Oryctolagus cuniculus: one gene and its partners. The protein of the gene in region 7 purifies or fractionates together with the protein of the main gene of each other region. This does not show direct contact. Links are inferred from orthologs where the notes say so. Each region holds a gene or a part of one and is shown on either strand. Other genes may lie near its edges. The genes, in order: SAP30L, SAP130, ING2, MTA1, MTA2, SMARCC1 and SIN3A.

The links.
Region 1: the proteins of SIN3A (region 7) and SAP30L purify together in Homo sapiens (affinity purification with western blotting; 4 studies listed by BioGRID and IntAct, with this or other methods). This does not show direct contact. The link is inferred for Oryctolagus cuniculus from reciprocal best matches to the Homo sapiens genes SIN3A and SAP30L.
Region 2: the proteins of SIN3A (region 7) and SAP130 purify together in Homo sapiens (affinity purification with mass spectrometry; 4 studies listed by BioGRID, with this or other methods). This does not show direct contact. The link is inferred for Oryctolagus cuniculus from reciprocal best matches to the Homo sapiens genes SIN3A and SAP130.
Region 3: the proteins of SIN3A (region 7) and ING2 purify together in Homo sapiens (affinity purification with mass spectrometry; 5 studies listed by BioGRID and IntAct, counting the BioPlex papers as one, with this or other methods). This does not show direct contact. The link is inferred for Oryctolagus cuniculus from reciprocal best matches to the Homo sapiens genes SIN3A and ING2.
Region 4: the proteins of SIN3A (region 7) and MTA1 purify together in Homo sapiens (affinity purification with mass spectrometry; 3 studies listed by BioGRID, with this or other methods). This does not show direct contact. The link is inferred for Oryctolagus cuniculus from reciprocal best matches to the Homo sapiens genes SIN3A and MTA1.
Region 5: the proteins of SIN3A (region 7) and MTA2 purify together in Homo sapiens (affinity purification with mass spectrometry; 4 studies listed by BioGRID, with this or other methods). This does not show direct contact. The link is inferred for Oryctolagus cuniculus from reciprocal best matches to the Homo sapiens genes SIN3A and MTA2.
Region 6: the proteins of SIN3A (region 7) and SMARCC1 purify together in Homo sapiens (affinity purification with western blotting; 3 studies listed by BioGRID, with this or other methods). This does not show direct contact. The link is inferred for Oryctolagus cuniculus from reciprocal best matches to the Homo sapiens genes SIN3A and SMARCC1.

The regions. Positions count from the first base shown.
Region 1 is NC_091437.1:41,406,334-41,409,442, reverse strand, and holds part of SAP30L (histone deacetylase complex subunit SAP30L), read right to left. Parts: intron 2,478-3,109; coding exon 2,349-2,477; 3' UTR 2,302-2,348; exon of another isoform or gene 579-2,301; 3' UTR 1-578.
Region 2 is NC_091434.1:118,436,528-118,440,027, forward strand, and holds part of SAP130 (histone deacetylase complex subunit SAP130), read right to left. Parts: intron 1,828-3,500; coding exon 1,706-1,827; intron 1,152-1,705; coding exon 849-1,151; intron 1-848. UniProt on the Homo sapiens protein: Acts as a transcriptional repressor. May function in the assembly and/or enzymatic activity of the mSin3A corepressor complex or in mediating interactions between the complex and other regulatory complexes.
Region 3 is NC_091433.1:65,334,884-65,339,157, forward strand, and holds the start of ING2 (inhibitor of growth protein 2), read left to right. Parts: upstream 1-1,474; coding exon 1,475-1,655; intron 1,656-2,398; exon of another isoform or gene 2,399-3,188; coding exon of another isoform or gene 3,189-3,225; intron 3,226-4,274. UniProt on the Homo sapiens protein: Seems to be involved in p53/TP53 activation and p53/TP53-dependent apoptotic pathways, probably by enhancing acetylation of p53/TP53. Component of a mSin3A-like corepressor complex, which is probably involved in deacetylation of nucleosomal histones.
Region 4 is NC_091451.1:47,293,007-47,296,506, forward strand, and holds part of MTA1 (metastasis-associated protein MTA1), read left to right. Parts: intron 1-1,733; coding exon 1,734-1,836; intron 1,837-2,194; coding exon 2,195-2,294; intron 2,295-2,467; coding exon 2,468-2,656; intron 2,657-2,810; coding exon 2,811-2,885; intron 2,886-3,116; coding exon 3,117-3,175; intron 3,176-3,451; coding exon 3,452-3,500. UniProt on the Homo sapiens protein: Transcriptional coregulator which can act as both a transcriptional corepressor and coactivator. Acts as a component of the histone deacetylase NuRD complex which participates in the remodeling of chromatin.
Region 5 is NC_091432.1:8,952,997-8,957,199, forward strand, and holds the start of MTA2 (metastasis-associated protein MTA2), read left to right. Parts: upstream 1-1,403; 5' UTR 1,404-1,817; coding exon 1,818-1,845; intron 1,846-2,522; coding exon 2,523-2,590; intron 2,591-2,930; coding exon 2,931-3,024; intron 3,025-4,203. Other genes in the region: EML3 (echinoderm microtubule-associated protein-like 3), read left to right, coding at 83-181, 539-559, 640-1,070. UniProt on the Homo sapiens protein: May function as a transcriptional coregulator. Acts as a component of the histone deacetylase NuRD complex which participates in the remodeling of chromatin.
Region 6 is NC_091441.1:101,097,202-101,101,299, reverse strand, and holds the start of SMARCC1 (SWI/SNF complex subunit SMARCC1), read right to left. Parts: upstream 2,801-4,098; 5' UTR 2,683-2,800; coding exon 2,482-2,682; intron 1-2,481. UniProt on the Homo sapiens protein: Involved in transcriptional activation and repression of select genes by chromatin remodeling (alteration of DNA-nucleosome topology).
Region 7 is NC_091443.1:108,521,551-108,525,722, reverse strand, and holds the start of SIN3A (paired amphipathic helix protein Sin3a), read right to left. Parts: upstream 2,801-4,172; 5' UTR 2,778-2,800; intron 2,679-2,777; exon of another isoform or gene 2,654-2,678; intron 1-2,653. UniProt on the Homo sapiens protein: Acts as a transcriptional repressor. Corepressor for REST. Interacts with MXI1 to repress MYC responsive genes and antagonize MYC oncogenic activities. Also interacts with MXD1-MAX heterodimers to repress transcription by tethering SIN3A to DNA.

The DNA of each region.
Region 1 (3,109 bases), on a different chromosome or scaffold from region 7:
GCCTGGCTGTTGCTCATAGGCAGAAGTCTTCTGCCCACAGATGAAGCTGTCAGAAACTGCGGAAGAGGCTAAGGCAAGTGGTTTAGTGGTTTCATGAAAGAACAGACTTTTGGACATGAATAAACGTTAAGTTCAAATAGCTTTGTCTTTTCTCTCAATTGACCTGTTTTTAAAAGGTTGAAGATGCCTACAACTTCCAGTTTCCAAAAGCACTTTTCAAGACAACATGAGACTCAAGTGTGCACAGCCTCTGGCTGAAGGTCACAAGTCGCCCAGGCTTCCGTTTGGAATAAAAGCAGTCTTACATACACATGTCAACATGTGAATCCTGATACCACATCTTCTTGGACGAGAATGCACTGCTGTTTCTCTCCACTGGGAAAACAGATTTGCTGTTAAAGGAGCTGTGACATGACTACATACTCACAATTTTGGTTTAAATATCAGAAAAATATACTTTCTTCCTCAAAAAGAAACATTTCCAGAGAGAACATTAACGATGCCTTAACCTGCAGGCTCCATCTGCCAAACTCCAGCCCCCGATGAGGCTTCTTGATGTCTCTATCAATATCCTTCAGCTGTAAGTAAGGAGACAATCACTAAATATACACTGGATCTGAATGAGAATACTCAAGAGTACCTTGACATGCCAGACACAGCCAAGTGTATCAAAACAGGATCCCTTCAGAGTTCAGAGCATTGTCTATGTACATTCATTTACACACATGTAAAAAAGGCTGCAATCTGCCAGACATGCACTTTGAACACTGGTGACAGCGTTGCTGCAATGAAACACACTGCATGTTAGTGACAGGGGTGGCTCTGTCCCCATTCCACAGAGAGCATGGTACTCTGCTCACAGAACTGAAATCTTCAGACACTGCCACCCTGCTCAGTCGGGGTTTTGTTTTGACTTCTTGCCTATGGTGCTCAGATTAAGCCATTTATGAGACATGGAAACTCTGCCAGCCAGGCTGTGCATTACTCCTTTTATTATTTAAGGCTTAAGAAACAACTAAGAATTGAAACTGAGAAGCAAAATGACACCTTTGACCATCATATGTCATCATATGTATCAAGATTGGTCAGATACTAGAATCCAAATTTTTTTCTCTCAGCCTTCTACCCCCAACACAATGATCATAGAGAGAATTTTGCAAAAGCATATTTTTGGATATAAAGCTTTGTTTTCCCAGGATACTTTGGTTCTGATAAAATTAGCTAGAAGAATGACTTACTGACAAAAACAAAAATCAGGCCATTATTAATACTTTAAAAATTATTTTAAGCAATCTTTCTCCCTAACAGGGAAGCAAATTGCTCACAAAAATGAGCATCAGATAGCACTAACCTTGGTTGCTCAAATTCATGATGTGCTGTCTACCAGACAGAGCCCAGGGACTTAAGGACAGCCGTACTTTCTACCCCACAGCTGAGCTTCTGAGCAGGAGTCATATGGTCCTTGGCAGCTTTCCTGGTGGTCATGAACTGAGGATTAATACTTCTGAAAACATTAGCCCCAAACCAAAATTGCTCAGTTTGTCAAAGCATTTATTGCCCAGGATCTTGGCTCAAGTCTTAATAACTTCATCCCAAAAGTGAAGCACAGAGGGGTGTGCAAAGTACCACGTCTCCTGTGAGAAACATTTATCAGTGTTTCTGAAGCCTTGACAAACCGGGGCATGCAACTGCCCTGAAATACTCTTTTGATCTCAAACTTCCTTGTCCTTCCATCAGGAGTCCCTCCATACTTTAGCAGTTAAGTGCTGAACAACAAAAGTAGCACAGGTCTCTGTTACAAGAGCAAGGAAGCAGATGTTACAGGGCTGGCACTGCTTTGACAGCTTAGACAACTCAATACTGATCAAATGCCCCCTGTGGACAAGGGCAAGTGAAGAGACCAATGTCAAATTGATAATGACAAAAAAATCCGCAACAAAGCAGGCCATCTACATACCCAGTGGTCAGTGTGCAAGTCCATCAGCTACACCCTATCCTTATTCCAGGGCTATGTCCCAAAGGTGGCAGCCTGGTATTGCAAGGTGACTACCAAACTATTTCTTATCCCACATTTTTCAGCAGAATAGACTTAACACTTTATTGAATTCTGCAATACATAGTTTTCCTTTAATTCTTTTTATGATCCTGTTTGTTTCAGTCCAGTAGTTATCTTAAAAGTCTGTCTATACACATGCTGAGTCATGAGAATATAATCCTCTTGACCAAAAAGATTTACAGTATCATCATTCAAACTTTTATTTACAGTAAAACTGAACAGTCTTTAAATGTAGCAGATATCACCTGTGCATTAGGCATTATGCTTTGTTCCTTTAAGATGAGCTTTGTCTTCACTCAAGCTGCTTGCTGCCCTCTGATTTCTGGTCCAGTCTACTCTTGTTACTCTTCACCATGTAGATGAAGTAGGCGAGGGTCTCTTTTTCATTCACAGGTATGTTCCTGAAGTGTCGGCTGACAGTCTATGTGGAAGAGAAACCAAAATCCCTTAAACCTGTACAATTCAGGGTGACAAATTCAAAACTGTGCAAAAGAGGGGACAAGGACTCGCTTGCAGTGCTGTGGTGGAAATTACAGCTACTGCAGAAGTTCTTGCAACAATGTACAATGGTGACTTGTTTTCCAGAATTCCAGAAGTAGAACTTTAACCTACCAAGGTACAGTTCTATTTTAGTGGCAGCCAATCATCCATCATGATCATTAAATTCCATGAAGAGACCAACTGCTCTGCTTAGTCAGCTGCTACCAAACCTGTCAGGCCCTGGCATGGGTGGAAACATATTTTATAAAAAGTTGTGTTAGGGGGCTGGCATTGTGGCATAACAGGTTAAGCTGTGGCCTGCAATGCCAGCATCATATATGGGTACTGGTTCAAGTCCTGGCTTCTCCAATTCTGATCCAGCTCCCTGCTAATGTGCATCCGAAAGCAACAGACAATGGCCCAAGTCCTTGGGCTCCTACACCCATGTAGGAGACCAGGAAGAAGCTCCTGGCTCCTGCCTGGACAGCCTTGGCTGTTGTAGCCAATTGGTGAGTGAGCCAGCAGATGGAAGATCTGTCTCTTCTCTATTTCTCATTTTCTGTATAACTCTGC
Region 2 (3,500 bases), on a different chromosome or scaffold from region 7:
TTGTCTTAACCAGTATCTTGACTGCTAGGCCAAATGCCCACTGCCACAATGATAACTAAGATTAATATTCCATCTGATAAAGTCTTTTAACTACATCAGAAAAACAGCTAATCAATATTCCATTCACAGTGATTTATTCCATTTTCCAAAATGCCTATTCCACTAGTATTGTTTTTTTCAGATTTATTTACTTATTTGAAAGGCAGAATGACAGAGAGACCTTCCATCAAGTGGTTCATCCTTCAAATGGCTGCAACTGCCGGAGCTGAGTCAGGCCAAACCCAGAAGCCTGGAATTCCATCTGGGTCTCCAAGTTGGCAGGGGCTCAAGTACTTGGGTCATCATTTGTTGTCTTCCCAGGCACATTAGCAGGAAGCTAGACTGGAAGCAGAGGAGCTGGGATTTGAACCAGCACTCTGATATGGGATACAGGCATTGCCAAGTGATGCCTTAACCTGCTCTGCCACAATATCCACCCTTGTATCTCTTTTTAAATGCACTGACATCATTAGCTAACATGAGGATAAGATTTCACACTTTACATATAACTCTGAAGATCTAAGATGAATGAGAACACTACTTGTAAGGTGAATCTGCCCCATAAACTAAGAGATTTTTATGGAATGCTTCTCATTATTGAGCAAACATTTATATCTGTTTATATATGTTAGTCTGAATGTTTACAATGTCCCTGACGCTAAGTTCTAAGTGACTCATGTTACAAAGAGGAAATTAAGGCCTACAGAAACTTCTCAAGACCCCAAAGTCAGCAAGCGGCAGAGCCAGATTAAAACCCAGGTTTATTTCCCTACCCTATGCCACTTTTCATACAAAAAAGTTAAAATTACCTGAGGTCTTTCCTTCAGGTTGTGGCTGCTGAGCACCCATCGGAGCAGGCTGAAGACCCTGTGTGCTAAGTGGGGTGGCTGAGTGAATGCCCTGGGTGCCAATTGGTGCAGGCTGGATCCCTGGCGTCCCAATGGGTGCTGGCTGGATGCCCTGCGTGCTGATGGGTGCTGGCTGGATCCCCTGGATATGTCGAGCATGTGACGCATCCACTGTCATCAACTGCATGGGGTTTAGGTGGACTGTAGATGCTACTCCAACACCAGTCTGAGCTGTGATGGCAGAGTTTGGAGCCTGAGCTGAAACTAAAAATGATGCAAAGTGTGATTAAAGGTACTAGTGGCACAATCTGAATGACTTTCAAATGCCCAAAGTTAGCCAAGGATCCTACAGGAAAAGAATATGCAAACTCTGAGACTTCCAGACTGCTTTTCCTGGATTAGCAAAACACTACTTCTAAGTCAGAATGGTGATAGCTAAACATAATTGCACTAAAATTGAAAACACATAACAGTATCTCACAAAACAACAGAAGATTCCTAAGAGTATAGCTCTATCCATTCTACCTGTATACAAGTTTAAGAACTAACAAATATTATTTACATGATAATCCGCAGGGTGGGATAAAACTATGCAACTATTACCAACACTACCTTTTCATATGATCTTTTCAAAGATCATCAACATGGTGATTTAAGCCCTTATACAACCTTCAGATATGTTAGCCTTATCTGAATCTGGAAATCTGAACCTAGAATAATTAATTCCCATACTAGAAATAAGGCCTAATCAATTTGTATCTCATTGCTAGCAAAAAATTAAAATGCAAAGTCATTTTAAAAGTGGGACTTGTTTATACCTGGATACTGTCGGATAGTGGACACCGAACTGGTAATTGGGGTATAGGTGTGTGCTGCCAGTGGATATGCAGAAGGAGGGTAAGTTGGCAAAAAGTACTGGAACTGGACAGGAACAGAAGGTCTAGGGATGGAATAGAAACAGTGTGAAACAAAGTGGTTACTGGTTCTTTGCCTTTAAATGTCCCTCCTCACACCATTCGTAACTGCCCTGAGATTCTCTCAAACCGTGTCTTCAAAACTCTTAGATCAAAGGACAGACTGTAAAAATAAAAAATAAAAAAAAATAAAAAAAAAGTGAATACAGCAAACAACCACATGTCAATAAATCTAAAAACAGATATTTTATGGATGCTTTTTGAAAAGAACATTTACATTTAACAAAACTGACTCACACAAATTCAGTAATGAAAATCTTCCGTGTTCAATTCTACAAATTGTTTTTAATGCCAAATTTTGTCAAATATATATAAAACAGATAATCCCAACCTCCTACAAATTGATTCAGAGACCAAAAAAAGAAGAAACAAAATCTAACTTATTTTTTGAGATGTGGCCTTAGCACTAAAACAGGACACAGTATGAGAAGATAATAAACAAATCTCAATTTTCACTGTACACTGACACAAAAATAACTACACAGAATTACATTAAGGATTATATAGTGGTCAGCGCTGTGGCGCAGTAGGTTAAAGCCCCGGCCTGCAGTGTCAGCATCCCATATGGACACCAGGTAAAGTCCCAGCTGCTCCACTTCTGATCCAGCTCTCTGCTATGGCCTGGGAAAGCAGAAGATGGCCCATGTCCTTGGGCCCCTGTACCCACATGGGAGACCTGGAAGAAGCTCCTGGCTCCTGGCTTCAGATCAGCTCAGCGCTGGCTATTGCGGCCATTTGAGGAGTGAACTAGCGGATAGGAGACATATCTTTCTCTCTCTCTCTCTCTCTGGCTCTACCTTTCTATGTAACTGTCTTTCAAATAAATAAAATAAATATTTTAACAAAAAAATAAGATCATATAAAATTAAATACATCATGACCAAATAAGGTTTGTCAAGACAAGAATGATTCAACATTATAATTTCCATTCATGTTTTAGATGATATTTAAAAAATCAGGGGAACAATCACTTGAAATGTTGCAAAATATATGCACAAAATAATTGATGGCATTTCAATATTTATTCATGATGTAAATGCTTACAAAATAGGAATAAAAACTTCGAAAATGTTATCTACTCAAATCTACAAAGGAATTTCAGACGAATTTCCAGTCACTATCTTTAATTCAATAACATTTAATTGGAAACTCTATCCAGCAAAATAACAGGTATAAAAGATGAAAACACCTTCTTGCCATGCCCCCAACTGTCCTTAATGATATAAACATCTATATTAGAAATCCAAGAGAATCTATAAAACTTCAGAGTAACAGGAGTATTTGGCAAAGGGGGATCAGCATAATACTAATATATTAAAACCTGTAAATATTCCTACACACAATAATAAAAATGATATTTAAAAATCATCTGGGGAACTTTCCAGAACACTGAGGTGGGGAATAGTGCTGCCTGCTCAGGTTGCACAAGTACATGCTCCTTCCTTCGCTTCACACTGGCTCTACCTGGCTCACTGGCTGAAGAAAATGGTTTAAAAAATCACTTACTATGATGTTTTGGGGGTTCAAACCCATTATCACTCAGGAAGAACTGAAAAAAGTTAAAAGTTGGTCTTAAAAATACCACCTTTGATAGAATGACAAATGCCCTAAACAACACTCTGGCCTCAGAATCAGCCCT
Region 3 (4,274 bases), on a different chromosome or scaffold from region 7:
CATTTACGTTACCCAGAAATTAATCGATGGGAATCCATCATTTCGTGGGCTGGACTGTGGCCTGGGGTCTCACCGTCAGTCCCTGGGCCTCTTTCGGCTTGGCCGGAGGGGAGGACGGAGTGACCATATCGTGCAGCGCCCCTCCCTCCGCCCGCAAGCCCTCGCCCACGTCTAATGCCTGAACGTTCCGACCCCCGAAAAGGTTTTGCTTCGTTCTGAACGGCTGTCTACCGGCCACTTTCGCACCCCTGCCCCCTCAACAGGACTCAACAGGAGGGGAACCCTGGCCAGAGCTTGCCACCCCGGCGCCGGGAGCCCTCCGGGTCACCCCAAGGCAGAGCGAAGCCGCACCGGGTCCCTGCAGGCGACTACGTGGAAGATAGGGAAAACGGCGGCGGTCAGAGGGAGCATCGCCTACCTCCCCGCTGCTGGGGAAGCCCCAGGGCGGCGCCGGGAGGAGGCTCGCTGCCCCCGGGCAGCGCTGAGGCGGCGGCCAGCGAGCCGCGGCGGCTCGGCGGGAACACAGCCGCCGTGCATGCCGGGAGCAGCGCCCCGCTGCACACTGGGTCGGTAGTTCCCGCAGGCCTCACTCCAGGGTGCAACGGAGAGCAGCTGCCGGCGGCTCCTTTTAAGGCTCGCGGGGAGCCGCGCTCGATCCGCCCAACGTGGGGAAGAGTCGATCACCCTGGGCCGAGTGAGCCGGGCCACGGCTCCCCTCTCCCAGTGGGAAGGACGGAAGGAAGAATTCGGCCACCTTTCAGGTCCCATTCAGAGCGCGGGCGGGGACGCGGGTTTGACAGTGCTTCCCCTTTAAGGGGGGGCGGGGCACAGCCTGCCGTTTGGCCGCCCTCCGCACCCTCCCCCCGCGGCCGAGAGTTGACAGACCAATCGCCCGGGCGGCGGACGGAAAGCGGGAGAATGCGAACCCTTCGGTGGGGCGCTAGGGGCGGGCCCCCGGCCTTATTAGGACGGCGTCCTGCGCAGGCGCAGAGGCGGCCGCAGCCGAAGGGGCGGGGGCAGTCCAGTGAGAGACTCTCGGACAGTCGCGGAGGCTGACCGTGGGGGGCGAGGGGTTTGTCAGGGGGATCCGAGCGACGAGGCGGCGTGGGTAGCATCTGGGGACTTTGCGGGGGACAGGAAGTGTCCCCGCCCGGGACCCCGGCGCCAGCTCCGCTGAGGGGGGGGGATCCCCGCGGCTCTCGTCCTGGGGAGGGCGGGGGGAACGGAGGGGGAGCCCTGATCTCGCCCCGCCCCTGGGCTTGTTACCGCGGGGGCGGGGAGTGAGGGCTTCTTTTGGGGGGAGTGGAGGTCGGGGGACTCGGCTGTGCCCTCCGGAGCGGCGGCCGGTGTCCCCGCGGCGCCGGGCAGCCGAGCAGACGAGCCGCGGTGAGCGCGGCTTTTGCATGTGCGGCTGCTGGATGCGGAGGCGGCGGCGGCGGCGGCGGCCAGGAGCAGCAGCAGCGGCGGCGGCAGGATGTTAGGGCAGCAGCAGCAGCAGCAGCAGCAACTGTACTCGTCGGCCGCGCTCCTGACCGGGGAGCGGAGCCGGCTGCTCACCTGCTACGTGCAGGACTACCTCGAGTGTGTGGAGTCGCTGCCACACGACATGCAGAGGAACGTGTCTGTGCTGCGGGAGCTGGACAACAAATATCAAGGTAGGGGCCGCGGGGCTCTCGGGCACGGCCGCCCGGAGCCTGCCCCGGCTGTGCCACTTTGCCTTTCTCCGGTGACAGTCTCCGCGAGTGCAACACGGCGGGGGTCCTGCCGTGTGGGGCGGGGAGGAGGAGCTGGACAGGGGGCTCGAGGCCCTCGCCTTCCCCGCTGCGGGCGGCGAGGACTTCGCCGGGGTCCCCGGAGTGGGGGTGGGGGCCGCGCGTCAGCCCCGGCTGCAGACCCAGCGGCTGCAGCTGTCGTGGAGGGGAATCAGCCATTTTAAGCAGCAAGCATTTGTTCCGGCTCTTGCCGGCCCAGTGCCGCAAGCCCTCTCGCCTGGCCGAGGGAGTGTGCAGCCAGGCGGGGGGCCGCGGCCGGCCGGGCTCCCGCCGGTCTGCGGCGCCCCGCGCTCCCCACCCCCTCCGGCCCCCGGCCCCGAGAGGAGATGCATTGGAACGTGTCGGGGGGAGGGGGCGGGAGAGGGCCGCGAAGGCGGACTCGGGGCAGGTCCCTCCCTCCGCGCTCCGGCTCCTGGCTCGGGAACCGAGCGGTCTGTTCCCCTCTCCCGCCGGGGGGAAAGTTCCGGGCTGCCCAGCGCAGTAGCCTTTGCCCAGCTCCTTCTGCCAAATGGTTAAAAGGGGAGGGGTCTCCCGCTGAGAGGGGAGGAGAGGGGCGTGTGTGGCCGGGAGGGCCCCCGGCCCCTGGGGGCGGGGCCTGCGGCCGTGACGTGGGCGAGGGGCGGGGACGCGAGGCGCTCCGCCGGCCTCGGAAATGGCTAGTGGCTGCAGAGGCTTGGGTGGGACCGGCTGCTCGAGAGCCAGTCTGGCCAGTGGCTCGTTCGTTCGGCCCCAGCAGAGCCAGTGTTGGCGTCTGTGTGACTTTTCTCTTTCGCAGCCGGTCAGTCGGCACGGGGACACAGCTGCTGGCACCGTAGCTGTCCCTGAAGGCTCGCAGGTTCCGGGCCGTGTGTCACTTCCGGGCCCCAGGAGGAAGTGGGTTGGTTGACTGGGCAACCGCCCGGCGTCCCTTCGCCCCTGGGTCGCGACTCCGCCAAGTTTCAGCGACGGGACGAAAACCACCCTTTGTGGTCAGACCCAAGAAGCTAGGACAGGGACTCGACCTTTGTCGCATAGTGTCGTTCGTCGTCCACTCTCCGCCTGCTACGAGCAGGGGAGTGGTTTACTTCGGATCGGGAGTTGAAATGTGTTTGATAACCCGAAGTCGAGGAACAGACCTTGGACACGAACTTCTTGTACCCTTGCTCTGTTTTTCCCAGCACGTCACTAATCCGATGATTTCAAGGAATCCACTTCAAGAGTGACTTCTGTGGCCTGTAGCGTGTAGCGACATTTAAGTCTCTGTTGTTGAATGCATAAATTTGTTCTCTGAATCCATATGATTGATAGGGCCGATCTCTTAGTGGGAATAAAGCTGATACTGATTGTCGCTGTGTGCCAGTTACTGCACCAGATCCAGGACATTATATGAAGTAAAACTGATTTTTACAGATAAAAGTAACTTGTCCAGTTAGTTGAATGGGGGAATTTTTGTCTCCTAAGCCTGTTACTTTAGGTGAATGTCCTTTGTTTCAAACTGTTTAAACCTTTTTATTTTAAGTAAGAGTTGTCCAATGTTATTTTTTCCGATGTGGTGCACATATGTGAGTCGTAACCCAGAAAATTATACGTATGTGCTTAAGAATTGTATATTGAATATTTGTGGTTTTTCAAGTGGTAACTTTGAAGATTGTAAAGCTTGTAGATTTTTATACTTTAAAGGCACAAATTTGCCTTAAACTATTTGAAGTTGGGAAGAAATGCTAGAATTTGTTGATAGAGAAATCTATTTGACCATCTATAATTGTCATAATTAGTTCTGGTAGTATGAGTGATATGGTAGGACTTAAAAGATTGAGAGATTGTCAAAATTCTCAATTCTGTAAAATTGTGATTAACTTCCACATTAATAGAAAAGCAATAGAATTTTCGCTCTGTGCACATAGTTGCTAAACTCAACCTTTATGGTTTTTTACTAACTTTACATACTATTGTGTTCCTGGTTCACTTTCATTTTTTTAATTTGTTTTAAACATTTATTTATTTATTTGAAAGCTACACAGAGAGATCTTCCATCCCCTGATTTATTTTATTTTTTTTTATGCAGAACTATACAGCTTTACAGTTACAAACTTGATAAACTTCATAATTACAGCTTTAGGAACATGGTGATTCTTCCCACCATGCCTACATTCCCACCCCTGGTTTATTTTAAATGGCCGTAACTGCCAGGGCTGGCCCAGGCGGAAGCCTGGAGGCAGGAGTTTGATCTGGGTCTCTCAGGGGGATGGAGGGACCCAAGCACTTGGGAGGTCTTCCTCTGCTTTCCCAGGCACTTTAGCAGGGAGTTGGACGGGAAGTGGAGCAGCCGAGACTCAAACTGGTACTCATGTGAGATGCCGGGGTTGTGCAGGCAGAGGCTGTACCTGCTATGCCACAGTGCTGGCACCCATTTTCATGTTTCTTATTTGCTAGTCCTTAAGTATTTTTTTTGGTTGGCATCTAATACTTAGCGCAATATTTAATGATATAAATTATATAAGCATTCAAGGAAATTTCTCTCCA
Region 4 (3,500 bases), on a different chromosome or scaffold from region 7:
CTCGTCCCTCTGGTCTCCAGCTCCCTCCTCCAGCACTTCCGCCTCCTGTTTCTGTGCACGTGGCCGGGACCTGGCTCTCGTGGGCTGGCTGCTTGCGGTGTGTTGGCTGTGCAGCAGGGCTGGGATGCTGCACCATGGCCCAGAGTGGCCGGTGAAGGGTTCCCTCAAGTCCCTGTGCACAGGGCCCGCCCTCGCCAGCCTGGGGACCCCGGCCCCAGCCCCGTCCCCGGCAGCATCCTTGCCTGCTGGGCTCACTGCTTGGTCTCTTCCTGAGCTGCAGGCCTGGTGCAGAGCCTGGGCAGCCACGTCCACCGTGAAACCCACGCCAGCTCCCACCTGGGGAGAACTGCGTGGCGACGCCCTGACCCGAGGGCCTGGGCTCGGCTGCTTGCGTGCTGGTCAGGAGGGTGCTGGGGCTCCCCAGAGACCGTGGAGCAGCCACCCCCAGGACCCCTTCCTGACCACAGAAGGCCTGAGCCTGAGCCGCAGCCACGAGGGAGGGGCCTCCTGCCTCTCTGCAGCCCCACCGCCTCCTGAACCTCATGGGCCGCTAGTCCAAGGGGCATTGGCCTGGCTGGCAGGAACGAGGCTTCTAGAACCTTCCACAGCTCCTTGAGCCACATCCTGTTGAAGGGATGCAAAACCGTGCTTGTGCCTGGCCAGCGGCGAGGGCTGGGCTGTGCTGCTGCCGCCCTGCAGGGTCGGCCTGAGGCCCTGGGAGTCCTGGCGCCAACAGAGGTCTCAGTGGGCAGAGGAAGGAGATGCACCCATGATGCTGGACACGGGCCACGCTTCTGCGCGGACAGAAAGCCCCAGTTCCTCCCCCTGCAGCCCTTACGGTCAGCCCCCCGGGCCCACTGGGCCCACATGGACCCTTCCGTGGCCAAGCCTGCTCAGCCTTCAGGGGCTGCTGCCCTGTGAGAAGGGTCAGATTTTTTTTTTTTTTTTGACGGCAGAGTGGACAATGAGAGAGAGACAGAGTAAAGGTCTTCCTTTTGCCGTTGCTTCACCCTCCACTGGCCGCTGCGGCTGGTGCGCTGTGGCCGGCATATCGCGCTGATCCGAAGCCAGGAGCCAGGTGCTTCCTCCTGGTCTCCCATGCGGGTGCAGGGCCCAAGGACTTGGGCCATCCTCCACTGTACTCCCGGGCCACAGCAGAGAGCTGGACAGGAAGAGGAGCAGCTGAGATTTGAACCGGCGCCCATATGGGATGCTGGCACTGCAGGCGGCGGCCCCACCCACTGTGCCACAGCCCTGGCCCTCTGGTTTTGTTCTTTGGAAGTAAAAGGTTGTTTCATCAGAACCCTCCCGAGAGCTCCCAGAGGACAGACCAGCCCTGGTTGTGTGTAGGTTAGCGGTGCTGGAGCTGGGCTCTGCCTGTTACCACACTGGGGTGCTAGGTGAAGGCACCAGGGGGCTGTGATGGCACAGCCGAGTGCGTCTGGATCAAAGTGAGGGCTGGGAGCTTCTGCTGCCTCTCTGGTCACACTCTGGAGCCACCAGCACCGGGGTCCGCGTCCCTGGTGGGCTCTCCCTTGGGCCCATGTGGGTCTCTGTCCTCTCACTGTGCCTGCAGCCCCAGGGTGCTGTCTGCAGATGTCGGAAGCCACAGCCCGAGTGCCTGTGTGCTGGCCACCCCGCATCGTCTGTGCTGTGGGACCCCAGGGAGCAGGCAGGCCCGTGGCTCGGACCTTGGCCCTCTGTGGTTTCCGCAAGTGCACGCTTCCCTGTAGGTGAGGAGGACGGCCGTGACCAGTCCAAGCTGGAGACCAAGGTGTGGGAGGCCCACAACCCACTCATAGACAAGCAAATCGACCAGTTCCTGGTGGTAGCCCGGTGAGTTCTGGGTACTGGAGAAGGGACCTGGGGTCCTTGGTGTCGGGGAGACCGTGTGGCCTTGGCTCTGAGGTCGCGGCGAGGCCCACAGCCTTGCCTCTGGGCCCTCACCTGGCATCCCCAGGAGGCTCAGCTGACCCAGCCCACCTGGCCTTTTGGGTGCTCCGCTGGGAGGGGCTGGGCTGTGCAGCCGGCCACATGGCACACAGGCCGTGGCAGCCACTCCCCAAGTGTCCTGGTGGCTCCGCAGATGCTGTGGCCACTGTAGTCTGTAGACTCCATGGCAGCCATGCCCTGGGAGTGGCGGGCGCTGCCCCGCTCCTAGGGCTCTGAGGGTCAGCCTGTCTCCGTCCCCCAGCTCGGTGGGCACCTTCGCACGTGCCCTGGACTGCAGCAGCTCCGTGCGACAGCCCAGCCTGCACATGAGTGCCGCCGCCGCCTCCCGAGACATCACCTTGGTGAGTGTCCAGCACCTGCCCAGGCGTGCAGGACCTGGGGAGGACCCAGCTTCGGTCAGTGTGTGTGGAGGCTGTGGCCAGGGGCCCTCTCCAGGAGGTACCGAGGGCGTGGGGCCACGATGCAGGTTCAGGTAAAAGACCCCGGGCCCCTCGCCCCTGCTGTGTCGCCACAGTTCCACGCCATGGACACACTGCACAAGAACATCTACGACATTTCCAAGGCCATCTCGGCCCTCGTGCCGCAGGGCGGGCCCGTTCTGTGCAGGGATGAGATGGAGGAGTGGTCGGCGTCGGAGGCCAACCTCTTCGAGGAGGCCCTGGAGAAGTACGGGAAGGACTTCACGGACATCCAGCAGGACTTCGTGAGTGCCCCGGGCGGTGGGCGGCTGCTGGGCCTTGGGCAGGGGCCCTGGCCTGGCCGTGTCAGTGTTGGCAGCGGGGCTTGGGTGGGGGTCTCGGAGGGGACGGGGGGGCCGCAGCGGGGCTGCCCCCGTGATGCACTGTCCTCTTGCCCAGCTGCCATGGAAGTCGCTGACTAGCATCATCGAGTACTACTACATGTGGAAGACCACCGACAGATACGTGCAGCAGGTGGGCCCGCGTCCCCCGGCAGCTTTGCGCCCCGTGAACTTGCTGCGTGCTGTAGAGCCCCTGGGTGCCCCGGCAGCCCTGGCTGAACGTTCCGTGCCAGGGCTTTGCGTCTCTGGGGTCCCAAAGTCTTCCCCAAGAGAGCCAGCTCCCAGGGCCCCTGCCTCGCTGTCCGGTGTCTGCGCTGCAGCCCCCGTCCAGCCTGTGACCTCTCTGCCCCTCTTTTGCTTTAAGAAACGTTTGAAAGCTGCTGAAGCAGAGAGCAAGCTGAAGCAAGTCTACATCCCCAACTAGTGAGTGCTGCCTGGGGCCTGGGGCCGCGGGGCCGCCTTCCCTCAGCGCAGGGGACCCTGGCCTGGGTCTGGGGGGCGGGGGCCACATCCCAGAAGCCCCTGGCAAGTCAGCCCTCCCAGTTAGTGGGGTGGCCAGTGTGGGGAGGCTGGGGCCCTGGGTTTGGCCACTGAGCTTGCCTTGGTGCTGGGCCCATGAGAGCCTGGGGAGCCGTCCTCAGCGGCTGGGGGCATCCTCAGTCCGGATCCTGTGACTTTTCCCCTTGCCTCCCTCTTAAGCAACAAGCCAAGTCCAAACCAGATCAGCGTGAACAACGTCAAGGCCAGC
Region 5 (4,203 bases), on a different chromosome or scaffold from region 7:
ACCAGTCTGACCATCCTGGCCTTCTCGGGCATGTTTCCAGCTGCGGGCAGGGTGGGCTGAGCTGGGCCGGCTGTCTCCCCAGGGGACGTGGCTGGAGGCTGCAAGCTGCTGAGGAATCGCTATGAGAGCCGAGACAGGGAATGGGCCACCTACACTTGCGTGCTGGGCTTCCACGTGTACGGTGAGCAGGGGTGGGGGGCCCGAGCGGGACGAGGTGGAGCCCGCTGTGGGCTCGGCACGCCGGGCGGGTGTTCGGAGAACCTGCGGAGGACCCAGCCCACGGGCCCCCTACCCCTTCGCCCTCGGGACCAGGAAGGACTGCCTGGAAGGCGGCCGGTTGTTGGTGGCAGCGAGTGCCAGAGATGGGGCTACGCTGGGCCGCGGGTGGTGGCGGGCAGGGGGCCGGGCTGAGGCCGTCGCTGTGCTAGGCGTGTGGCCGGACGGCTCCGACGGGACCGACATCAACTCGCTGTGCCGCTCCCACGACGAGCGCGTGGTGGCTGTGGCCGATGACTTCTGCAAAGTGCACCTCTTCCAGTACCCGTGCGCGCGCGCCAAGGTGAGGCTGCCCGGGGCGCCGGGGGCGCGGGCCAGGGCGGGCCCGGACGGCGCTGCCGCTCACCCTCCCCTCCCCGCCAGGCGCCGAGCCGCGTGTACGGGGGCCACGGCAGCCACGTGACCAGCGTCCGGTTCACGCACGACGACTCGTACCTCGTCTCACTAGGCGGCAAGGACGCCAGCATCTTCCAGTGGCGCGTGCTGGGCGCTGGGGGCGCGGGGCCGGCGGCCGCCACGCCCTCCCGGACCCCGTCCCTGTCCCCCGCCTCCTCTCTGGACGTCTGATCGCTGCCGGACCGGACCGACTGGCCGGCCCCTTTTCCTCGACTTCGAGACATTCCCAAGTGCGCATCTCCCCGGGGGGCGATCGCCCCTGCACACACTGTAGGGACCCGCTGGCCGAGCCGGGCCGCCCCAGCCTGGGTCCTGACTCCTGCTGCCTGCTGAGGGGCAATAAACCAAAACCAGAGTCGCCTCCCTGTGCTTTTGTGGGGCGCAGCTGGGTGCCCTAGGGACCCCGAGGGGTGGGATGGAGGCGAAGAGGAGTGTGGAAAGCGCCCGTAGGCCGTTCATGCAAATGGTAGGCAAAGCTGTTTGCAGACCGCCCGGCGAAGCGCGAGGGCGCGCGCGCCTTGCGGGACGTCAGGCGGAGCCGCAGACTCCTGCGAGGGAAGGGTTAAGCCCGCCTCCTCCCCCGCCCTCGGGGAGGGGGCGGTCCCGAGCTGCAACGGAAATAACCGAGGGACGGGCCGCGGTTGGCCGAAGCCACTCGAGCTCATTCCGGAAGTAGCCGATCTGTGGGGTCTTGCTCTCCGACCTGAGCCGAGCGCCGGGCCTTGTTCTCCGATCAGCCGAAGGTGTTCCGGAAGAAGGCGAATCCCGAGGCGGGCAGGGCTAGCCTCCCCTGGGCCCGCGGAGCTCAACGTCTGGTGGGACCGGTCGAGGTCGGGGGTGGGGGTGGGGGGGCGGCTAGCCGGAGCCTGGCTCCGGTCCGGCAGGAGCCGAGTTCGTTCCGGAAGAAGCCGAGCGGACCGGCGCCGGCCTCGGCGTCCCGGGCTTGAGGCGGCAGCAGCGGCGGCGACAGCGCGGGCCGGGATGAACCGCGACGGCTGAGGCAGCGGAGGCGCCGGCTGCGCGGACCCCAGGAAGACTCTCCCAGAGCGCCGGCCCGGCTCTCGGGGCTTCGCCTCGAGCCGAGCCCTGCCCCCGCGAGCTTCCCGGACCCCTTTGTGCGGCCGGAGGCGGCGGCGGGAACGGCCATGGCGGCCAACATGTACCGGGTGGGGGGTGAGTACCGGGCGCAGGGGCGCGGGGCCCGGGGCAGGGGGGGCCGGGCACTCGGCGGCGCAGGGAGCCGCGTCTGGGGCGGCGTGGACCGGAGCTCGGACCGGAACCGGAACCGGGAGCCCGGGGAGCGAGGGTGCGGGGACCGCGACGCGGCCGGGCTCCGGGGGTCGGGAGAGGCTGCGGGCAGCCCCGACGGCACTCGGAGTGCGGCACCGCGGGCCCCTGGGGCGGGGAGTGGGCTTGAGAAACTGGTTCCGAAGGAGCTGACAGGATAGGGACGGGGCCCCGGGGGCGGGGGGCCCGCGGCGACGGCTGTGCTACCTGCGGGGAGCAGCCTGAGGTTTCTTCTCCCTGGGCGTTATTGTGCGCCTCGCTCCGCCAAGGCGGGGGCCGGGTGCTGGAGCGAACAATTGTTCACTTCGCCGGGGCTGGAGTGCAACTCCATCGCTGAGTTGGGGGAAACTGCTGCCTGTCTTTTCCTGAAGGCTCACTTTTGAGCGAAGGGTGTGATTTAGAATCCGATGCGGCAAGGTGGAGGCATCTTAGTCTGCCCCTGTCCACACTCGAGCCTCCCCTGCCTGGACCCTTACCCACTTTTGGTCGACGCGGGCGGTTTTCTCTCCTCCTACCCTGACTGGCTGTCCCATCTTCCCGTTCTTCCCCACCCCCTCCTACAGATTACGTCTATTTTGAGAACTCCTCCAGCAATCCTTACCTGGTTAGACGGATTGAGGAGCTCAACAAGGTGAGTGGAATAGACCCCCCTCCCCATCCCCCAAGTGGGCTCCTTTGAGGTCTCTAAGTTCGGGTGGAAGAGAGGCCACTAACCTGAGTGCTCATTCATATTCATTCATTCATTGGGTGCATACAGGACAGGCTATTGAGAGCTTAGTGGGAGTCTTCCTCATCTGTCTCTCGGGTGCAAAGGAAAGGGGTTTGGAAGTCTGTCCTTGAATTAAATCCTTATAATTTCTTGAGCTCTTTTACTTAGGTCCCTTAGAAATTTATTCCATGTTGTTAGGCTCTGTGCATTTCCACTTTCAGATAACCAATTTTCACTGCTACGTTTTTTTCCCCTCTCTTAGACTGCAAATGGAAATGTGGAGGCAAAGGTTGTCTGTCTTTTCCGGCGAAGGGACATTTCTAGTAGCCTCAACAGCCTGGCCGATAGTAATGCCAGTGAGTGTCTTCATCCCCTCCTCCTGCCATCTGGGCATGTCCCTGCAGGTGTTTCCCCTGGTAGCATGCCCAAAGCAGGGGTGTGAGTTTTGGGGGTGGGAAGTGCCTGGTTTGTGGAGGGAGGCCTGTTTTTACACGTTGGGGTTGGAAGCAGGGTGGAGAGACCATGATAAGGAAAGCCAGACTATGGTGTATGTGTGTGTGTGTGTGTGAGAGAGAGACAGAAATGATAGTGTTTACATAGGAGGTAAGGAAGAGAAGCAGGACACTTTGGGGGGGTAGAGTTTTGAGTACACTGAGACAATGAGGGGTGTCTGAGGGTCAAGGTGAGAAGGAAGAGATTGTACTGAGAAGCCTGTGCAGCAGGGAAGCAGGCTTACTTTATAATCACGAGGTGGTGCGAACGCGGTGAAGGGAGAGAATGGAAGTTAGGATATGGCAGGAAAGTGTTCTTGCACTTTTTCTTGTTTCTCACCTCTTCCATGTCCCCTCTACTCCATTTTACTTCTTTCCTTTTTCCTTTTGCCTTATCTTCCTTCCTTTTAAGCTCTCATTTTCTTTTGGAAAATGTATTGCCTTCATTTTTTCCTTGGCTTCTTTTTCCTTTCCTGCTTTGGTTTTCTTTCCTCTTCCTCTTGTCTAAGTTATTTTCCTTTTTAAAGGCTGCACTGGGCTTGAAGGGGTTAATGAGGAGAGCCGGGCGGGCTTACGAAGTTCCCTGGGCCTTTGGGGTTTCCAGCCTCCTCTGGCAGGGGCTGACCTTGGCCTTGTCCAATCAGAAAGGGTGTGGGGGGTGTGGTCCCCTTTGCCTTAGCACAGGGTTTCCGGAGCACACAGGCAAGGGGTGGAGCATATTGCACCCCTCCCCATCCCCCCCTCCCCGAGGTCGGGGAACAATGCACCAATGAGCCTGAGCCTGAGGCTCTCCTGCACCCTCCCACTTTGACTGGCGCCCGGCCAGGTTAACCCTTTTCACCAAGGTTTCAAGGCAGGCTGCAGCTCCTTGAGGGAGGTGTTGGCACTGGCTTGAGAGGTGTTGTCCTTGAAAGCCCCACAAACTATTATTAGCCAAGTAGAAAGTGAGGGATAGTTAGGGTTGCATGTGATGTTTGAGAGCAGAGTCTCCTGAAATCTGAAAAGAGGAACTGGTAAACACAACCTGTGTGACATTTTTTTTTT
Region 6 (4,098 bases), on a different chromosome or scaffold from region 7:
TACAAAATCATCGGCTTAAAAATTAGCCCGGGGGGGCGGGGCCAGCACTGAGTCTTTGCCTGTGGCGCAGGCTTCCCATATAGGCACCAGTTTGTGTCCCAGCTGCTCTTCTCCTGATCCAGCTCTCTGCTTGTGGCCTGTGAAAGCAGAAGATAACTCAAGTGTTTGGGCCCCCTGTGCCCACGTCAGGGACCCAGAGGAAGCTCCTGGCCCCTGGATCGGCTCAGCTCCAACTGTTGCAGCCATTTGGGGAGCAAAACAGCAGATGGAAAGCCTTTCTGTCTCTCCCTCTTTCAGTCTGTAACTCTACCTCTAAATAAATAAATAAAATCTTAAAAAAAAAAAAAAAAAAAAACACACACCACAAACCTTAGCCTTGGAGCAGTGCTGTGGCAAAGCAGGCAAAGCCGCCACCTGAAGTGCTCGCAGCCCTTATGTGATGCTCCTGGCTTCAGCTCAGCCCAGCTCCAGCCATTTCGGCCATTTGGGTAGTGAATCAACAGATGAAGACCTCTCTCTCTACCTCCCTCTTTAACGCTTTCAAATAAGTACTAAAAAAAAAATTTTTTTTAACTGCTCTGAAAATGCATTACTAAATGCAAAACAAATGTTTAGTTCAAACCCACCAAAACACAAACCAAGCAGAAATACAGTATGCAAAAAAGAATCAAAGAGCCTTCTGACTAGGATTTTTACCACTTCAACATGACTCCCGGAAGCTGAAAGAATTCTGGCTGTCAGGCATAAGAGATATATACAATTCTGAACCTGGATAGGCCCAAGAAATACATTCTGATTCTACAAAGCCCTGAGACATCAAACTTAACTTTGACTTTGTCTTTAAAGCCTCAGGAACAGTGTGTCAACACTGGCCTAGTGGCCTCAACGCTGTGGGTCAAATCCTTCAGTCTGCCTCTTAGCTACTTTCCCAGTCACTCAAACTTCTGAGGTATTACCCAGGCATAAAGCAGCCCTCTTTAAAATGGACCAAAATTAATACACTGATTATTTGGAGAAGTCAAAATAACTATCATTGACTTTTTTTCCACTCTTTTCCTTGATTTTCAAAGGAATATGACTCCTGATAATCTTTTCTTGTTAAATCTTCTTTGACCTTAAGACCCAAAGCACTGGATGAGAAAATTACCAACTTTAAAAAAAATTTAACATTTTTGGAACATATTCAACTCCGTGAGCCACTTCCAGAAGCTATATTCCATATACAAAGTGACCAATTTGTCACTACAACAGAAAGCAATACTGTAGAGAAAAATCTACAGTCCCATATGTAACTTCAAAGGGGGTAAAAAATCAATGCATCCAAAAATGTGACTACTGTCTCTCACTTCCTCAAACTTCAGAGCAGGAACGGTGGTTTCTGAAGAAAGCATCAGTGTGAGCGACCTCAAAGGAACCCAAGATCCCTGCCCTCACCTAACGACTGCTGAAACAGACAGACTCACTGAGCTGCAGACCCCTAACAGATTCCTAGACACCTCGATCTTTTCATTCGTTCAGCAAGTATTTACTGAGTAACTGCTCAGGGGAGGCACCGAGCACCGACCGTGTTCCAGAGCAGGTACAGGCCTGACAGTGCCCTTGCTCCCTGGGGGAGAGCACAAGTCAAAGAGGGTGCTTGGGAAGTTCGAGGCAGAGAGTGGCTGTCTGCTTCATCCACCTTACAAGGCAATCATTCTGGGAATATTTACATGAAGCATAAACTTAAAGGGTTTTCAAAATTCTGAACAAAGGGTTAAGTCACAACTTTGAAAACCTATGATTCAGCAGAATTTAATCCCAAAGGTAGGAGAAACAAGCAAGCACAAATTTCAGGCAGCGGCCAGCACTAGGAATTAAATAAAGGTGACACGAAGTAGGGTGCGCTTGTACATTGCGGGTCCTCAGGGAAGGCCTGGCTGAAGGGCACAGGTGAACACAGCCTCGAACTCGCAGCATGCAGACGGGCACAACCAAAACCCGTCGTTTCTTCACCGGACACGAGTTCTCCTCGGTGCCACTGGTCGTGACGTGAAGCCCGGGACAAGCGTCCACAGGCCTGCGGCAAACCAGCCGCGGGCAGCGAAACCCGGGTCCTCCTCCACTCGGAGGCCACTCTCGGGACGAACCCCGAGGCTGCGCGCCCACGCCGGCTGGGTACTGGGGGGGGGGGGGTCATTGTTCCCACACCTGAGGCGGCCAACAAAAGACACACGCGCCGCCCGGCTGTCGCGCACCGAGGCCCGCAGGAGCTTCCGCCCCGAGCGCTCGGGCTCCCAGGGCCGAGGCCCGGGACCCCCGGCAGCCAAGCGGGAGCCGGAGGGGCGCCCAGGGCGGCCGGCGGGGGCGTGGCAGCCCCGGCGCCGGCCTTTGTTGTCCCTCGTGGCGCGCGGGGGGAGGGGCGGCCCCGGGGCCCGCCAAGCCCGGGACCGCCGCCGGCCCCCGCCGCGCGACCTCCCGGTCCCCAAGGGCGCGCGGACCCACCTTCTTGTAGTGCTTGCCCAGCCAGACGCGCACCGAATCCAGCTGGGACACTGTCTCCGGGCTCTCCCAAAACTTGCTGGCCGGACCGCCGTCCTTCCGTCGATAAACCGCCAGACCCGCGGCCGCCGCCGCACCCCCCGCGCCCGCGGCGCCTGCCGCTGCCCCAGGCCCGCCGCCGCCGCCGCCTGCTGCCGCGGCCATCGTCGCCGTCAGTCGTCCCCACCGCCCGGCACGGCCCGGCCCTCGCAGCGTTCCCCGTTCGCACCCGCGCGCGCGCGCAGCCGCTGCTGCTGCCGCCGCCGCCACCACCACCACCGCCGTCCCTCAGCCCCGCCCAGCCAACCCCTTTCCGGCGCGGAAGCCCGACCCCGCCCCGAGTTGGCCCCGGCGCCGTAACCGTCGCGAGCACGCGCGCGCGCCTGCGCAGTGCCCTGCCGGCGGGCCAGCGCCTCCGCCCGCCTCTTCCGCCGCGCCACGGGGGCTGCCTCTCTACTTCCTGTGGTTCTTGTGTGCGCGCCTCACGCGGTGGACAGCCGCCAGGAGGGTCTGTGCTGGCCGACGGAAGGCGTGGGCTGATAAGTGCCCGGGAGAAGCCCTTGCGGATTGCGGGCCTTGGCGCTTGGGCGCGGTGCGGCTGCGCGCCCGCCCTGCTCGCCCGGACCCTGTACGGCGCGGGGCGGCCTCCGCGCCCCTCGTGGCCCCGGCCACGCGCGCCCCTTCCTGCCTATGGCCTTTGCGCGCTGGGTTGTTCGGCGACCTCCTGGGTCTTGCTTTGTGGTTTCACCCATGAGCCTCGGCCGCTTTCACAGCCTGGAAGTACTTCCGAAGGCCGGCCCCTGAGCCGTGGCTCACACGTTCTGCGAAGCCCTGAACGTGACCCGATGTTTTTATTATTTGTGTGTGTGCGCAGATAGACTGCATGAGAACCTAATCTTGTTCACAGGTGTACCCTTCGCGCTGCGGAAACAGCCTGTTCTTGTTTTGTTTTTAAAATATTTGTAAGGCGGAGTTGAGAGACATTTTCCATCCCCAAATGGCTGCACCGGCCAGGGCTGGGCCAGGAGCCTGAAATTGCATCCGGGTCACTCATCGCTTTCCTAGACGCATCAGCAGGGCACTGGATGGGAAGTGGGACAGTTGGGGCTAGAACAGGTTGCTTGTATGGGATACTGGCGGCTCAACCCACTGAGCCACAACGCCAGCCACTCTGCCTGTTAGCTAACAAATATTTGGGGAATGTATGGCCCGCAGGAATGGAGGTTTTGAGTTTAAGATTGGTTTATGTATTTGAAAGGCAGAGTGACAGGGAAAGACAGAAAAAACTATCTTCCATCTGCTGGTTGTTTATCAAAGTGGCTATAACAAAGTCAGGAGCCTGGAATTCTGTCTTTGTCTCCCACACTGAGGGCAGGGGTCCAACTACTCAGGGCCATCTTCCATTGCCTGGATCACAAGCAGAGCAGTCAGGATGCCAACTGGCCCTCTGATAGGGGATACTGGTGAGGTAGGCCACGGCTTAACCCACTGTGCACAATTCTGGCCCCATATTGAGTTTTTATCCAAGTATGGTTATCCCTAACAGAGCTATGGACATAATGCTATGATCCCAGAGCAGAA
Region 7 (4,172 bases):
CGCTCACCCTCTCCACGCCCCTATTGGCGGGGAGCTTCCCTAACTCAACCCCGCCTATTGGAGACGGATTGCCGAGTCCCTCCCCCCAGCCGCAACACCATTGGCGGAAGCGGGGGAGCTCTTCTCGTCTCATTGGAGGACACCGCACGGCCCGCCCCGCGCCGTCTCAGCCACAGGCCGAGCAGGTCGGCTCCCGCCTCCGCCGGTCAGCGTTTCGGAAGGCTACCTCCGGCTCTCGGCGCCCCAGGAAGGCAGCCGCTGTGGGGCACAGTGTCCGTGCGGGACGCAGGCGCCTCCCACCTCACAGCCGCGCCGGGCCCGCCCCCGGCGATTCCGCCCCGCCGTCCTTTGGTGGAATGTTGACACCGAGACGAGCTCGGAGTTCCGGGGGCAGCGCCGGGGCCCGGGCGCCCCTCACCGCGAACCTCAGCCTCCGGCCTGGCGGTCGCACGCCGCCGCCTAGCAGCGGCCGGGGCAGAGCTGCGCCCACAAACCCGACCGGAACGGGCAGCCCTGAAAGCGGCCCGACGGCCACCGCCCTGGCCGCCTCGGGGGCAGAGCCAGCGGAGGAACCGAGGAAGGGACCGGAGTGGGCGGGGGTGCCTCGTGCGGTCAGACCCCTCTGGGCCGGGGTCCCGCGTGCAGAGACACCTTCTGGGCCGGGGTCCCGCGTGCGGTCAGAGACCCCTCTGGGCCGGACTCCCGCGTGCAGAGACACCTTCTGGGCCGGGGTACCGCGTGCGGCCAGAGACCACCTCTGGGCCGGGGTCCCGCGTGCGGTCAGAGACCCCTCTGGGCCGGACTCCCGCGTGCGGTAGAGACCCCTCTGGGCCGGGGTCCCGCGTGCGGCCAGAGACCACCTCTGGGCCGGGGTCCCGCGTGCGGTCAGAGGCCACCTCTGGGCCGGGGTCCCGCGTGCGGTCAGAGACCCCTCTGGGCCGGGGTCCCGCGTGCGGTCAGACCCCTCTGGGCCGGGGTCCCGCGTGCAGAGACACCTTCTGGGCCGGGGTCCCGCGTGCGGTCAGACCCCTCTGGGCGGGGGCTTCCCCGTGCGGTGAGGCCGGCGCGGCCGGCGTCCACCTCGGCCACCGTGGGCTCCTGGCAGTCCCTAGGTCCGCTCCGTGAAGGCTAAGCTGCACCGAGACCAGGTGCCGGCACACAGGGCATGGGCCCGCCGGTGGCCTTGCTTGGGGGGCGGGGCTCGGGGCTTCCCGCTCTCGCCCGCAGAGGGGACCCCAACACCGCCCTCCCTCCGCAGCCTCGGAGCGAGCTCCGGCAACAGGTGAGTGCCGGCTGCGAGCTGGGAACTGCGGGGAGCCGACCCCCCGGCGGGGGCGCAGCTCGGGCCCAGCCCCGCGCGCCGCGCCCCGACCCCGCGCCGGGGTCCCCTCCCGGCCCGCCGAGGGCAGCGGCTGCCGGCGTCCGCAGCGCTCTCGCGCGGAAACAGCCACGCCGCCGGGCCCGAACTTCAGAGCGCGGCCCCGGCCCGACGGACAGACCCTCGCCCGCAGAGCCCCCAGCGCCACCCGGAAGCCGCCGGCCGCGGGATGCCGGGCAGCCCAGCGCGCCTTCGCCACCCCCTCCCCCCGCGGGGCGCGGAGCCGGGACTTCCGGGCGGGAGGCACGCGAGCAGCGCGGCGGCCTCACACATGTGCGGGGCGCGCTCGCGGCCGAGGGCGGACTTCCCCTCCCGGCTCGCTCCGCCGGGGGCGGGGCCGCGCGCGCAGCCAATCAGGAGCGGGGGCGGGCCCTCGCGCCTCACGTAGCCGCAGGACGCCCCCCCCTCCGCCCTTCACGGAAAAAAAAAAAAAAAAACCCTAGCAACTTAAACTCCTGCCCGGCCTCCCTATAGGCGGAGCTCGAGATAATGTCAGCCAATCCGTGCCCGAGAAGCGAAAGAGGGAGTCCCGAGCAGCCAATGGAAGACAAGAGCAGGCGGGGCCCGCAAGGAGCCCGGGGCGGCGGGCGGCGAGGCGGCGCCCCGCCCCGCGTGTCCCCTGCGGGCCGCTTGCACAAGCCGCCGGCGGAGTCGGTAGTAAACAGTCTGGGCCGCGGCCGGAGGCCGGCCGGCCGGCCGGCCGGCCGGGCCCGCGCCCCCGCCCGGCGCCTGCGCCCCGCCTCCCGCCCGCTGATGCGTTTCCTCTTCCCGAGCGAGCGTGGAGACAGTTCCCCAGGTTCCGACCTTCACGGCCGCTCCGGGCGGCGAGGCGGCGGGGGGCGAGGGCGGCGGCCCCGGGCCGGGGGCGCCCGCGCCCCTCGTGCAAGTTTGCGCGCGCAGGGAAGCCGCGAGCCCGGCCCGCCCGGCAAGTCCGCGCGGAGGGAACTCCGGGCCGGCCGCCGCCCCCCGCCTGCCGGAGCGCGTCCGGTCGGCGCGCAGGGCCCCCCACCCACCTTTTTTTTTTTTTTTTTTTTTGCTGCTTTTCGTGTGTTTTTCTTAAAAAAAAAAAAAAAGGCGTGAGCGGAGCCGGAGACTCCTCCGGCTCGCCGCTCCCCAATCCGCCGCCGAAACCTACCGACACCGAGTGCTCGGCAACACTAGGCGGCGCGGCCGGCGCTGGCGCCCCCTCCCCACGGCTCGGCCCGGCCGGGAGACACAGTGGCGGGCGGGCGGGCGGCGCCGAGCGCCCTCCCTCCGGGCCGGCCCCTCGCCTACCTCGGCCGCGGGACTCCGAGCCGCCCCGGGGCCTGCGCGCCCGCTCTGCGTCGGGCCGGCCACGGCGAGCCGCCCCCCGGACGCGGGCCGGGGGCACCGAATTGAAAGCAGCTGTTTAACATACCTTCCGAGCCGGGCGAGGAGTGCTGAATGGGGAACGCCCCCCGCCGGCCATTGGCTCCGCGGCGCTGCGTCACGGCCGAGGGCCCGCCTCCGCGCTCGCCCCGCCCCTCCCTCCGGGAACCGTGCAAATAAATAAATTAGGCGAGCCCGGAGCGGAGGATCCCCGGTGCCGTCGCGGCGGCGCCTCGAGGGTCCCGGGCGGCGGGGCTCCGGGACGGCGGCCCGCCGTGCTGGGCGCCTGGAGACGAGGGGTGCGGGCGGGAAGCCCTGCGTGCAGCCCGGCGAGGGAGTCACCCCAGCCCTGGGGCGTGCGGGCGCGGTGGAGATGCTGCCGCAGGAGCCGAGGCGAGGCGGGAGTGTGCTCCCGCACAGACTGGCCGACTCCCGGGCGCTCCCAGGAGAGCCCTGCCGGCTGCAGGTAAGCCGGCGGAGCCGCGTGGAGGCGGCGGCGAGCCAGGTGGGTCTTAGGGGTTGCCCCGGGCAGAAGCGGAGGGGCAAAGGGCACGAAGGGACAGGTGGAAAGCGTGAGGACTGCGATGCTGGAAACCAGGGTGGCAGAGGTGGCCCCAAGCCGCGGGACGTCTCCTAGCTGGACCAAAAGCCGGTCGCAGGCCCAGGCCGGTGTGGTCGGGTGCTTAGCGCCCTAGCAGCCGGTGGGCTCTGGGGTGTGCCCAGTGAGGGGAGGGAGGCGCTGGGTTTGGTGGCTACAGTGCTGCGACGCCTGCCCTGCCTCTGCCCTGCCGCCCTTGCTCTGTTGGTCTCCATTGCCAACCGAAAAGAGTTTCCAGGGGGCAGGGCCACCCCGCAGGTCTGTGTTCAGCAGAGGCCGGATGCGCCTGGTGTGAGCGAGGGAGACCGGCTGGTCGGGGCTCGGAGGGATCCGTGCGGTGGGCCGGTAGTTCAGGCGGGGCACACTAGACCAGGGCACGGCCAGGGGATGCGTGCGAGCAAGAAAGGCGAGCAGTGTTGGAGAGACTCAGGGGAGAGGGCGGCTATTTGGAGTGGGCGGTGGGCGGCAAATGGAGCCAGCGGCCCTCGGCGGGGTGAGGCGGAGGAGCTCGGGGCTGGCGGAATTCGGCCCTGCGCTTCGCGTGGCCGTTGTCGGAGGCTTAAACGAGCTCCTGTCTCCCCTACCTGGGCCTGAGCCTCTCCACGAAACGGGGTGGGAAATGGAGCGGACAGGCTGCCAGCCGCCACCCCCACCCTCCGCCCCGGCCCCAGGGTCCACGTGGGAAGCTGGGCTGTAAGCAGAGAGGGCAGGTGGGGAGCCGCAGCTTTGGGGAGACCACGGAGGGGAGAGGAGGGGGAGCCGGGAGATGAGCCCTGTGTGCTCCTGCGCTGTGCCGGCGTCAGATGAGGCAAACGGTAGGGTAGAGCGGGCGCCGGCCTGCACCGC